3 linked regions of the Danio rerio genome follow. The protein of the gene in region 1 interacts with the protein of each later gene in a biochemical or structural test. Links are inferred from orthologs where the notes say so. Each region holds a gene or a part of one and is shown on either strand. Other genes may lie near its edges.

Region 1 (4,022 bases):
AAACTGGGTGATCTATTAATTATCACCACTAATTAAGGCGTTTAACCTAATTAGGTTGCCCCATAAACACTAACCAACACCTGCTATGGGTTTTTAACATGGCTTTACTGTTATACTGAACTTGCACCATATAGTATTCCTCCATATAACTTAAATATTACTTATATTCAATAATAATTAATCAGAAGTGACTCTTGATTGCTTACTTGTCCCAGTTATAATCCCACCCGTTCGCAGTGGGCCATGCCGGAGGATGCGCTGCGTTTACGGCTGCCAGAGTTTCTGTGACTCGGCGTCCCTCTCCAAAATACCCATTTTTATCAGCCACCACCGCCGCACACACGAGTACCGCGGATCCGCCAGCGAACCCGCATGCGAGACTTAGCGCCCTCCGAAAAGACATGCTTCAAACCCGCACAAAACACCGGAGTCACCGCGGAGCTGCTTTTCAGCGCCGTGACGCACAATGAGAGAGTCGGACTGCTTAGGAAGTGCCGCTGTTTGCTTCTATCTCACAGCGTCGAACAAAGAGGACGTAGAAGTCCTGCTGTTTCTAACATGTGCTTTATTTTCCCCAAACCTGTATGAGAGTTTAATCCAGTAGAATATAGTTGGTTTTAACACAAAATTAACTTCCTTAAGCAGAGTCACGACTTCATTTGTGAAGGCAGCGACAAAAGACAGCCGCACGACCATGAAAAATAAAAGCCTCCATGATATAATAGTAACACCTTTTAATACTAGCATGTTTTGTCAGTATTATTTTTATATTAGCTAATAGATATATTAAATGGTTTTAGATATATTCTGTGTTTATTTTAAGCATTCAATTTGAATAAACAAAATAAGTTAATTAAATAAAAAAGGTAATCTAATGCTATTGGATTAACACCATTATCATACAACAAATTTCGCTTTATATTTTGTATAATATATTTAATTTTTTTATCTAACATAACATTATTGCGTTTGTGGTTTGTGTATTAATGATAATATTGTGTAATAATGAAATGCGTTCTTCCATTTTATAGAATTAATCATGCTAGGTTTTTAAAAAAAATATATATATTTTTTTTTACTTCTGTATAACTTTAAATAAAATGGATCACAATCAATTTAAACAACTGCACAGAAAAAATGAATAAATGTCAATCTTTTTTTCCTGCATTTTACTCCAGACCTGCAGGTGGCAGTAAATGTCAGCAAATGCTGCACATGCATGCTGGTTATGTTTTGATTGGTGTGTCGACATGTTTTGCTGTTGTTGATTTACAGTAATGTTTTATTTAGTTTGGTATTGTCATTCACAACTGTTCATTTCGTTGTTGTAAAGATGGACTCGGACGAAGAGGAAGACAATAATGACTGGGAACGCAGTTTAGAGTCAGACATTTTGGAGACTGGTGGGTTTCTATCTGGACAACCCTGAACTTCACCATAAATATGTTTTTGTAGACAACATTTACTCAAAGTATTCATGTGTCTTTAGAATAAAGTGTTAGTTTCTTTGGCATAATGTGTCATGGCAGTTTTGAAATATAGACTGTATTAAGGTTTGGTTTAGGTGACTGCCTCGGCTGGGTCAGTTGGCATTTCTGTGTGGAGTTTGTATGTCCTCCCCCTGTTCGCGTGGGTTTCCTCTTGGTGCTCTGATTCCCCCCACAGTCCAAAGACATGCGTTATTATAGGTAGTGCCAGACGGAATCTGCAGACATTGTTTGCTATTTCTGCGCAGAATTGTTAAAAATCTGCGGAATTATTTAGGGAGTATCATAACTAAAACCCTAATATATGTAATAAAAAAACAATACCGTTTAAACTTTTATTTAATGTTTAAAATGCAAATCCAATTAGATCCTCTTTATTTGGTAAACAAAGCAAGTATGTCATATAATATATCTACTAAAAGACAGAAATTATTACTTTACACACTGTATAGTAAATAAATCATATAAACATTTTTTTTATGTTAGTCAATAATATTACTGAAATTAATTAAAAAACTGAAATAAATATAAATTTACACACATTTACACAAGTAAATAAACCGAATCAACGATGGGCTAAAATTTTGTGGAATTCTGCATGCGCTGATTCCGTGTGGGATTAAAGCTTAATTCACACATAGTGTATGGATGGAAAAGTGTATGGGTGTTTCCCAGTGTTGGGTTGTGGCTGGACGGGCATCCGCTGCGTAAAAATGTGCTGGATAAGTTATCTGTTTAACTTACCCTGATTAATAAAGGAACTAAGCCGAAAAGAAAACTAACGAATACAGTATCTGTTTTATGTGTGTCTTGACTTATTATTTCAGAAGGAAGTTCCACTGATAGAGTTTCATTGACATCCCAGAGAGTGATCCTGCATTTTGACCTGGACTGTTTTTATGCACAAGTTGAGATGATCCGAAATCCAGCTCTCCGGACCAAACCTCTTGGTAAACCACCAAATACAGTTGAAGTCAGAATTATTAGCTCCCCTTTAAAATTTTTTTTCTTTGTTTTAAATATTTCCCAAATGATGTTTAACAGAGCAAGAACATTTTCACAGTATCTGATAATATGTTTTTTTTTCTGGGGAAAGTCTTGTTTTATTTTGGCTAGAATAAAAGCAGTTTTTAAATTTTTAAAAGTTATTTTAAGGTCAATATTATTTGCCCCTTTAAGCTAATTTTATTTTCGATTGTCTACAAAACAAAGCATCAATATATACAATAATTTGCCTGGTTAGTTCACCTAATTAACCTAGTTAAGCCTTTAAATGTCACTTTAAGCTGTATAGAAGTGTAAAATATAAAGAAAAGCATTATTTACTGTCATCAAAGCAAAGATAAAATAAGTCACTTATTAGAAATGAGTTATTAAATCTATTATTATTATAAATGTGTTGAAAAAATCTTCTCTCCGTTAAACAGAAATTGGGGAAAAAAGAAACAGAGAACTAATAAATCTGAGGAGTTAATAGTTCTGAGTTCAACTGTAATACAAATTTTTTTTTACACAGTATAAAATCTTTATTATTTGACTGTTTACATTTAGTTTTATATTCTTTTGCAAAACTTATGAGCACGTTTTTGTGTTTTCTGCCATTTAATTCAAATAAAATACTTTTGTAATTCTTGTCTTTTGTAATGTCATGTCTTTACTTTTCTTTAGGGATACAGCAGAAATATATTATTGTAACCAGTAATTATGTGGCAAGAGAGCTTGGCGTGAACAAGCTGATGTCAGTGACAGATGCAGTGGAGAAATGTCCACAGCTGGTGCTTGTAAAAGGAGAAGATCTCACTCATTACAGAGAAATGTCCTACAAAGTCACTGGTGAGAACATCATATGTTTAATGTGTACTGCTATGCATATGTGTCCATAAAGTGCAAGTGGGTCAAACACAAAAAGGGTTTTTTAAACATCAAAACAAGTTTAATAATACAACTTCATTTTCAAAGTAAAAAGATTAAAAAGTGTCCCTTTTTCCAATACATTTTTAAATGAACGTACATTAAAATCTACTAAAATGTCATTGAGTACAACAACAGTTTTTTATATATATCATATCAATCAAATGCAGAAGAAGGTAGATAATTTTTTCAAATCAATTGTGTGTAACCCAGACTTTTTTACAGTGTGGGGTGCCTGAATATAATTGGATGAACTGGCAGTGGACATTGTTACTCTGATTAAAACAAAGACAAACATTCTGACACACAAAGAATATTTTCGCAAAATAATAAATTACTTTAGCATTGTTTTTCATAAAAAACAAATATGTTACATTAGCACATTTCTTAAATTTCTTTAAACATATTGGGTTATTTGGTCACACTTTATTTTAATGGTCCGTTTGTTGAATTTAAGTTACATTGCATCTACATGCCTGCCAACTTATTCTCATTAGATTATAAGTAAACTTATTATAAGTAGATCATATTATGTAGAGGAGTGATTCTTGTAAAATAAATAACAAATAAATTACATGCATAGATAAATAAAATATAGTAAAGATAAAAGTGGTTTATAGTTTT
Region 2 (4,009 bases), on another chromosome or scaffold:
TATATATACATACACACACACACACACACACACATACATACATATATATATATATATATATATATATATATATATATATATATATATATATATATATATATGCTCAAGTATCCCCAACTGTATCCCTTCTTTTGTTTGTGTAACACATATATGTATGTATGTATGTATGTATATATATATATATATATATATATATATATATATATATATATATACATACATAAATGTGTTACACAAACAAAAGAAGGGATACAGTTGTGGGATACTTGATCATGCGCACATCAACATAGCATGATTTTTGTGACACAACAGTATTTTACGTTACTGTGATGGGTCGATTTAGGATTTGGGTAAGGTAGACGTTATTAAAAAGCATTATAATGGGTATTCATAAATATTATAAGTAGTTATTGTTAACTGAAGACCGCAGCTATATCCTTTAGCAACAAAACATGTGTTACACAAAAAGTTGCGGATACTTGGGCATGCGCACATCAACATCAATCGTTGGTACACTGCACAACAATAATTAATATTTTACGTTACTGTGACTTGTCGATTTAGGGTTTGGTTAGGGGTATACGTTATTAAAACGCACTGTAATGGGTATTTATAATTTTTATAAATAATTCTCGTTAACTGCTGACCGTAGCTGTATCCCTTCTAGCAACAGCACAGTAATTTGTCACAGAAACAAAAAAGGGATACAGGTGCGTATACTTGGGCATGCGCACATCAACATAGTCTGATCTTTGGTAAACTGCACAACAATAATTAATAATTTACGTTACTGTGACTGGTCAATTTAGGGTTTGGTTAGGGGGTATACGTTATTAAAACGCACTGTAATGGGTATTTATAAATTTTATAAATAATTCTCGTTAACTGCCGACCGTAGCTGTATCCCTTCTAGCAACAGCACAGTAATTTGTCAAAGAAACAAAAAAAGGGATACAGTTGTGGATACTTGGGCATGCGCACGTTGACATAGCATCATTTTTCACACTGTACGACAATATATAATATTTTACACCACAGTGACGGGTCAGTTTAGGGTTTGGGTGGGGGTAAAGGTTATTAAAACGCACTGTAATGGGTATTCATAAATGTTGTGAATAACTCATACCTTCTGACCAAATTGCGCCCTCTTTTGGTCAGTGTCCGCAGTTCTGTCTGCGTTCCAGGAGGAGTCAAACGTCAGCGGAAATGACGAAGGCAACAGTGGGTCAGTTTAACAAAATCCCGGCGAAAGCGCGCGCAGTTACATTCAGAGCCTCGCCAGAACAGTGGACAGCACATCTGCACCGTGCCTCCTCTGCATTAGTACCTGCTAAACTCTAGGATAGTTTAGGATTCTGCTTTCCTGTGCTGGAAAACAAGCAGTTAACCAGGCCGCAGCTTGTGTCGTAACAGGATTAGATAACTTTAGTTCCTCCTACTCTAAACTAAGAAAGCAGCACAATGTTTGAGGCACGTCTGGTTCAGGGATCTATCCTTAAGAAGGTCCTGGAGGCTCTGAAAGACCTGATCACCGAGGCTTGCTGGGATGTGAGCTCGTCGGGCATTTCTCTGCAGAGTATGGACTCCTCTCATGTGTCTCTGGTGCAGCTGACGCTCCGGAGTGACGGGTTCGACTCCTACCGCTGCGACAGAAACCTAGCCATGGGGGTCAATCTGAGCAGGTAAAATCACTGACTAAATCAAGCGCCTTTTGTGTTATTTGACTCGTATTTACTTGGTGAGTGAAGTTTGAACATGTCTGCGCATGCCCGGGGCTGCGCCTCTACACAGCAGCGCGCCATTTTTAGACTATAAAGTGACAAAAGTATTTTATTTACAGTAGTTGTTATTAAAGTATGCCGTTTTACGGTTGTGTTTTAAATAGGCTATCAGTTTAATTTGGCGCGCAGTTTCCTGCATTCGTCCCACGCTCTACTGATCGTGACGTCACTTGCGCGCGCTTAAGCTTGTTGGCGGGAAAGAAAATGCCGGGTTGCTGAATGACAACATGGCTCTGGTGTTAGACAAAGAAAACCTGCTTAGACACTTTTTGTGTATGCCATGACTGTTTCGAATGTAAATGGTAAACCATTTTACGATCAATATGGTGTTTTTCTACCTGAAGTGAACGTGTTTTGATTATTATTCATCTGTTTCCTAGCATGTCGAAGATTCTGAAGTGTGCTGGAAATGAAGACATCATCACACTCAGAGCTGAAGACAATGCTGACGCCTTGGCACTGGTCTTTGAAACGCTCAGTAAGTTAACTTCTTTTTAAACTAGGAATAGCAATACTTTTGATAGTGTACAATTAAAAAAAACTTTTTTTTATTATGAATTTATTTTATGTTGCTAAATTTATATTTGCAGTATTTTAATATCGATTTATCAGCAATACCTGTTAAAAACATGGGCTTTGGTTTAAAATGAATCATTAAAGTTAAGCTAAATAATTAATACTTAATATTTAAAAATAATTTTCTAATAATAATTTTCTCCAAAAATGTAAGAATGAAATTCGCATAGATACTGGAGCCATTTTGTGGTTAATAACATCACATAAAAAAAATGCTTCTAGTATGGATTTTCTTCACCATGTTATCAACTATTACTATGAAACCAAAAGTTAAGTTTTGCTGGAGAGCTAATAATCCATACTAATATTTACATCTCATTTCAGATCAAGAGAAAGTGTCCGACTATGAGATGAAACTGATGGATCTGGATGTGGAGCAGCTTGGCATTCCAGTAAGACTTTATTATAACAGGGTGTCTGCAGGGTCATTAAAAGTTGATAAATCAATTTGGTATTAAACAGCCTTAACTGTTGTTTTACAAGATATAATTGTTTTGGTCATTTTATGATTATATAATGTGTAGTTGTGTGCTAAAGTTTGCCTAAATTTAATCTGTGTGGTTTATGAAATTGATAAAATCCTGCTAGATTTGGCATCACACTGCTTTGTCTACTGCAGTAATAAAGGCAAGCCTATGTTTCCTGCTGTTCTATAGGTGCCATCTGTTGGGATTAGCATTTTTATTCAGTACATGACCGATTTAGTTTAGGATTCGTTTCTTACAATCAGTATTTAGTAAATATACTACAAGTTGAATTGTCACCAATGTTAAGTTAAAACCTAAAATGGCGATGAGGTCTTAAAGTTTATTGAGTTTCCCTCTCTTGATTCCTGTTTATTTCTGATATGATCGTGGATGTTTGTCTGCAATGATCATGCTTTATTCTCTTCCCCTCAGGAGCAGGAATACAGTTGTGTGGTGAAGATGCCGTCGGGTGAGTTTGCCCGCATCTGCAGGGATCTGTCACAGATTGGTGATGCTGTCATGATCTCGTGTGCCAAGGATGGCGTGAAGTTCTCTGCCAGCGGAGAGCTGGGCACAGGCAACATCAAGCTCTCACAGACCAGCAACGTCGACAAGGAGGATGAAGCGGTAACATACTATTCATTTAAGGCTGCACGATACTGGGAAAAATATGCAATATATATTCTATAATCAAACATTTCTCTGAAAAAGTCAATTTAATTAGCTGTTTTAAAAAAATTATTTCATGATTTTGCAATAAACAAGTAAAATATATTTTCCAGATCTAATTCAGACTTAAAACTGTCAAGATGCAAACCTTTAGTCTTTAAAGCACTATTAGTGAGAATCATTTTTTAGCTCTGATTTCACCTTTAAGCCAATCCAGCCAATAGCAGAACAGCAACTACTTAGGAGGCGGGGCTAAAGGTAGTAAAGGCCCCATCTGATTGATCAGATTTATATAATAAGCAGCTTTATTTTCATTTAGCACCTTTAAAAGTAGCATCTCGGGGCACTTTACAGACATAATGTGCAGCTGTTAAAGATGCATACAGGATGAATGCAAAAAAAATGCAATGAATATAATCAAACGCTTACAATAATAATAAATCTAAAAAGCTACCCTAAAAGAGTAGGTTATAAGTGATTTAATAATTATCTGGGATTTTATCAGAGGGTTAAGAG
Region 3 (4,194 bases), on another chromosome or scaffold:
TTGACACTTCAATCAAAACATTTTTATATTTATTATATATATATATATATATATATATATTTTTTTTTTTAATATATTATTTATAAACATAATCTTAAAATATTTTTGAGTATTTACAGATACATTTAGAGTATTTGGAGTATCAATACCCAAACATTTGTATTTTAGAGTATTTAGATATTATAGAGAGAGTATCCCAGAGTAGATATAGAGTATTTTAGAGTATTTAGCTATATATATATATATATATATATATATATATATATATATATAGAGAGAGAGAGAGAGAGAGAGAGAGAGAGAGAGAGAGAGAGAGTATCCCAGAGTAGATATAGAGTGATTTAGAGTATCAATCCCCAGATATAGAGTATTTTAGAGTATTTAGATATATAGAGAGTAAATATAAAGTTTATGTATCACCAGATACAGTATGGTAGATACAGTATGCAGTATACCAGATACAGTATGTAGATATAGAGTATTTCATGTCTCCATCCCCAGATACAGAGTATTTTTGTGTTTAGATGGAGTATATGTATATAGAAATAATATTTTATGGATTAATCACCAGAGCATTTTAGATATAGAGTGTTTTAGAGTATTTACTTATGTATAGACAATATAATAGATTAGTTTAGAATAGATATTAAATACAATCTAATGGGCAATTTATTAAATAATATGAAAAATACTCCGTATAATTACGTTTTTTACGTTACTGTGATGGGTTTAGGGTTGGGGCATTAATAAAATACAATTTAATAGGTAATTTAATAAATAATATGAATAATACTCGGTATAATATAATTGTACATTACTGTGGGTTGGGGTTGGTGTTATTAAAATACAATTACATGGATAATTTATTAAATATTATTAATAATACTCTGTATAATTACTGTTTTACATCACTGTGAGGTTTGGGTTTAGCGGTAGATGTTAATGAAATACAATGAACGGGTAATTTAATAATTAATATTAATAATTCTTGCTATAGTTAGTGTTTTTACATTACAATGAGGGTTGGGTTTAGTGTTGGGTAGAAATGGACGTTAATAAAATGCAATTAGTAGTTAATTTAATTTAATAAACAGTTCTCGTTAACTTCTGTCAGCAGCTGTATCCCTTCTAGCAACAACCCGTGAGAATGGCATACCTGTTAATGTCAGTTATTTATATTATTTTAATAAATTATTCATGAATTGTATTTTATTGACTTCTGACTATCCCTACCTAAACCCTCGCTGTAATGTAAAAATATTTAACTATAAAAATAATAATTTAACTCAATATTTATTTTCAAGTGCGCCAGAGGGCAGTGCGCAGATCACACTCGCGCTGCTCCACACAGAGACAGACGAAGAAGAAGAGCTCGAGCTTTACCCGCGGAGAACACCAGGAAGTTCCATAACACAGACAGACTTTCATAATAATCCAGATTTATGATCTCACGCTGATGGATTTCGGGAAGGAGCGAGTGGTCGCGCTGGTGGACATGGACTGCTTCTATGTGCAGGTGGAGCAGAGACTGAAGCCCGAGCTGAAGAACAAACCCTGCGTTGTGGCGCAGTACAAGACCTGGAAAGGCGGAGGGTGAGGAAACTGACAGAAACCCGCACACAAATGAGCAAAACAGCACAGATTTAAGCAGAAATATACAATATAACCAGAGCTGGGAGCTTTATTTCACTACAGATCTCAAAATACATACTTTAAAAAGACATGTGTAGCGTATTCCGTTAGATTAGTCACGTTTAGTAATGTCCTGCATCGCAGATATACAGTTACAGTAATTTTAATTGGGCTAAAGTTGGTTTTATTTGCACACATTCAGACTTTCTCCTTAATATAAAGTTTGTTTTATTTTCACTCATTCATTCAGTGATGACTCCTGACACCCTCCCTGTATAGTTTACCATGGTATTTTGAATATTGGGTGTGAAACAGCATGTAAGTATGAGTAAAAACAACATCTGCGCTATTTACTGACTGTGATCAGTGTTGTATTTTGATAGCCACCGGCTGATAATGTGATATTGAGGTAAAAGTTGGCTTTATATTCATCATATAATTTCAGAAAAGTGTTTTTTGCAAACCATAAATGGGGAAATCACATTATCAGTCAGTGAATATCAAAGTACAACACTGCTTATAGTCAATAAAATAATGATAATGTCATTGTGAAGTCAGACCTGCATGCTATTTCAGACCAAATATTAAGTTTAGCGTTTCACAAGTTGTCACTGTTCAGAAATGAGCAAATGTGTTAACATATAACCAGCTTTACTTCGTTATCACAAAATACATTCATTAAAAAGTAATTTGTAATGTATTCTGTCAAGTTAAGTACCGTCCTACATCACTAATATACTATAGCAATTTTTAACTATGCTTTAGTAAAGTGTATTATACTGTATATTAGAGCATTTAAAATACTCAATTAATGCTTCAGCATATTAAACCAACTTCACCCCAATAGAAAACTGACAGAAAAACTGCTCAGAAATGAGCAAAACAGCACAGATATAAGCAGAAATATACATTATAATCAGAGCTGGGAGCTTTATTTCACTACAGATTTCAAATACATGATTTAAAAAGACATGTGTAATGCATTTTATTAGTTTAGTAATGTTACCGACCTACATTACAAATATACTATAGTAATCTTTATTGGGGTAAAGTTGGTTTTATATTTGCACATTCATTCAGTGACGACTCCTGACACCCTCCCTGTATAGTTTACCATGGTATTTTGAATATTGGGTGTGAAACAGCATGTAAGTATGAGTAAAAACAACATCAGCACTATTTACTGACTGTGATCAGTGTTGTATTTTGATAGCCACCGGCTGATAATGTGATAATGAGGTAAACATTGGCTTTATATTCACACATTCAGAATATATTCAGTGAATATCAAAGCACAACATTGTTTAGTCAGTTAATAATAATAATAATAAATAGTGCTGATGTTGTTTTGAATTTCAGACCCAACATTTAAAGTAGCCGTAAACACTATAGAGAGCATTAAAATGAACACTTGTGTGAAAATAAAGCCAACTGGACCTCAGTCTTCCTCAGAGGATCTGTGTTAAAGTGCTGTGATTACTGTGTCCAGCATTATAGCGGTGAGTTACGAGGCCAGAGCTCATGGAGTCGGCAGGAACATGTTCGCGGATGATGCCAGAAAGCTGTGTCCAGATCTGCAGGTGGCTCGGGTCCCAGAGGCTCACGGGAAGGCGGATCTCACACAGTAAGAGCTGTTTATTCTCAGAGCCACTTCAACAGTTATTACTTTCTAATTACAATTTAGATGAAGATTAAATGTCAAAGAATTTATTGCGATTAATTGCAATGAATAGTCCCATACAGAACTCCATGTCAGATATAAGACATATTAATTATGTCTATTTGTGTTTCTAATAATTAAAAGCGCACAGTGCTCAGCATAAATGAGCACACCTCCTTTGAAAAAAGCACATTTTTATTTTTATTTATCATTTTTTTCAATAAATATAGCCAATATGTTTTGGTGCATTTAAACTAAACAGTTTGATTAATCAGATACATGCATTAAATTAAGAGTTTGGTCACCGAATATCTTTAGGAATCCAAATAAAATACATTTAAATTGTGACTGGGATCCTGTTTATGAATCTTTTATTTAATATTTATCATTTATTCATTTTCCTTCGGCTTAGTCCCCTTATTCATCAGGGGTCTCCACAGCGGAATGAACCACCAACTATCCCTGCATATTGTTTATGGAGCCCATGCCCTTCCAGCAGCAACCCACTTGGAAACACCTATACACACTTATTCGCACACACACACACACACACACACACACACACACACACACACACACACACACACACAAACACAAACACAAACAAACACAAACAAACACACACAAACACACAAACACACACACACAAACACACTCACACACACACACTCATACACTCATACACTATGGCCACATTAATTCATCAGTTCCCCTATAGTGTTTGGACTGTGGGGGAAACCGGAGCACCCAGAGGAAGCCCACGCCAACACTTGGAGAACATGCAAACTCCACACAGAAACTCCAACTGACCCAGCTGGGACTCGAACCAGTGACCTTAGTGCTAACCACTGTGCCACCCCTATTTAATATGTATCCCTAACATAGTATTTTTTGGACCTTGT

Evidence for each region. The genes of interacting proteins can lie anywhere in the genome.
Region 2: the proteins of poli (region 1) and pcna form a complex in vitro, tested with the Homo sapiens proteins (4 studies listed by BioGRID, with this or other methods). The link is inferred for Danio rerio from reciprocal best matches to the Homo sapiens genes POLI and PCNA.
Region 3: the proteins of poli (region 1) and polh interact in far-western blotting, tested with the Homo sapiens proteins (2 studies listed by BioGRID). The link is inferred for Danio rerio from reciprocal best matches to the Homo sapiens genes POLI and POLH.

What each region holds. Positions count from the first base shown.
Region 1 is NC_133180.1:19,648,487-19,652,508, reverse strand, and holds the start of poli (DNA polymerase iota), read left to right. Parts: upstream 1-1,211; 5' UTR 1,212-1,240; exon of another isoform or gene 1,241-1,333; coding exon 1,334-1,403; intron 1,404-2,314; coding exon 2,315-2,437; intron 2,438-3,155; coding exon 3,156-3,320; intron 3,321-4,022. Other genes in the region: pgam5 (serine/threonine-protein phosphatase PGAM5, mitochondrial precursor), read right to left, coding at 207-403. UniProt on the Homo sapiens protein: Error-prone DNA polymerase specifically involved in DNA repair. Plays an important role in translesion synthesis, where the normal high-fidelity DNA polymerases cannot proceed and DNA synthesis stalls. Favors Hoogsteen base-pairing in the active site.
Region 2 is NC_133185.1:46,058,742-46,062,750, reverse strand, and holds the start of pcna (proliferating cell nuclear antigen), read left to right. Parts: upstream 1-1,199; 5' UTR 1,200-1,461; coding exon 1,462-1,682; exon of another isoform or gene 1,683-1,735; coding exon of another isoform or gene 1,736-1,767; exon of another isoform or gene 1,768-1,957; intron 1,958-2,161; coding exon 2,162-2,259; intron 2,260-2,681; coding exon 2,682-2,749; intron 2,750-3,256; coding exon 3,257-3,451; intron 3,452-4,009. Other genes in the region: E3 ubiquitin-protein ligase TRIM69, read right to left, coding at 1,736-1,767. UniProt on the Homo sapiens protein: Auxiliary protein of DNA polymerase delta and epsilon, is involved in the control of eukaryotic DNA replication by increasing the polymerase's processibility during elongation of the leading strand.
Region 3 is NC_133188.1:722,647-726,840, reverse strand, and holds the start of polh (DNA polymerase eta), read left to right. Parts: upstream 1-1,384; 5' UTR 1,385-1,456; coding exon 1,457-1,593; intron 1,594-3,121; coding exon 3,122-3,256; intron 3,257-4,194. UniProt on the Homo sapiens protein: DNA polymerase specifically involved in the DNA repair by translesion synthesis (TLS). Due to low processivity on both damaged and normal DNA, cooperates with the heterotetrameric (REV3L, REV7, POLD2 and POLD3) POLZ complex for complete bypass of DNA lesions.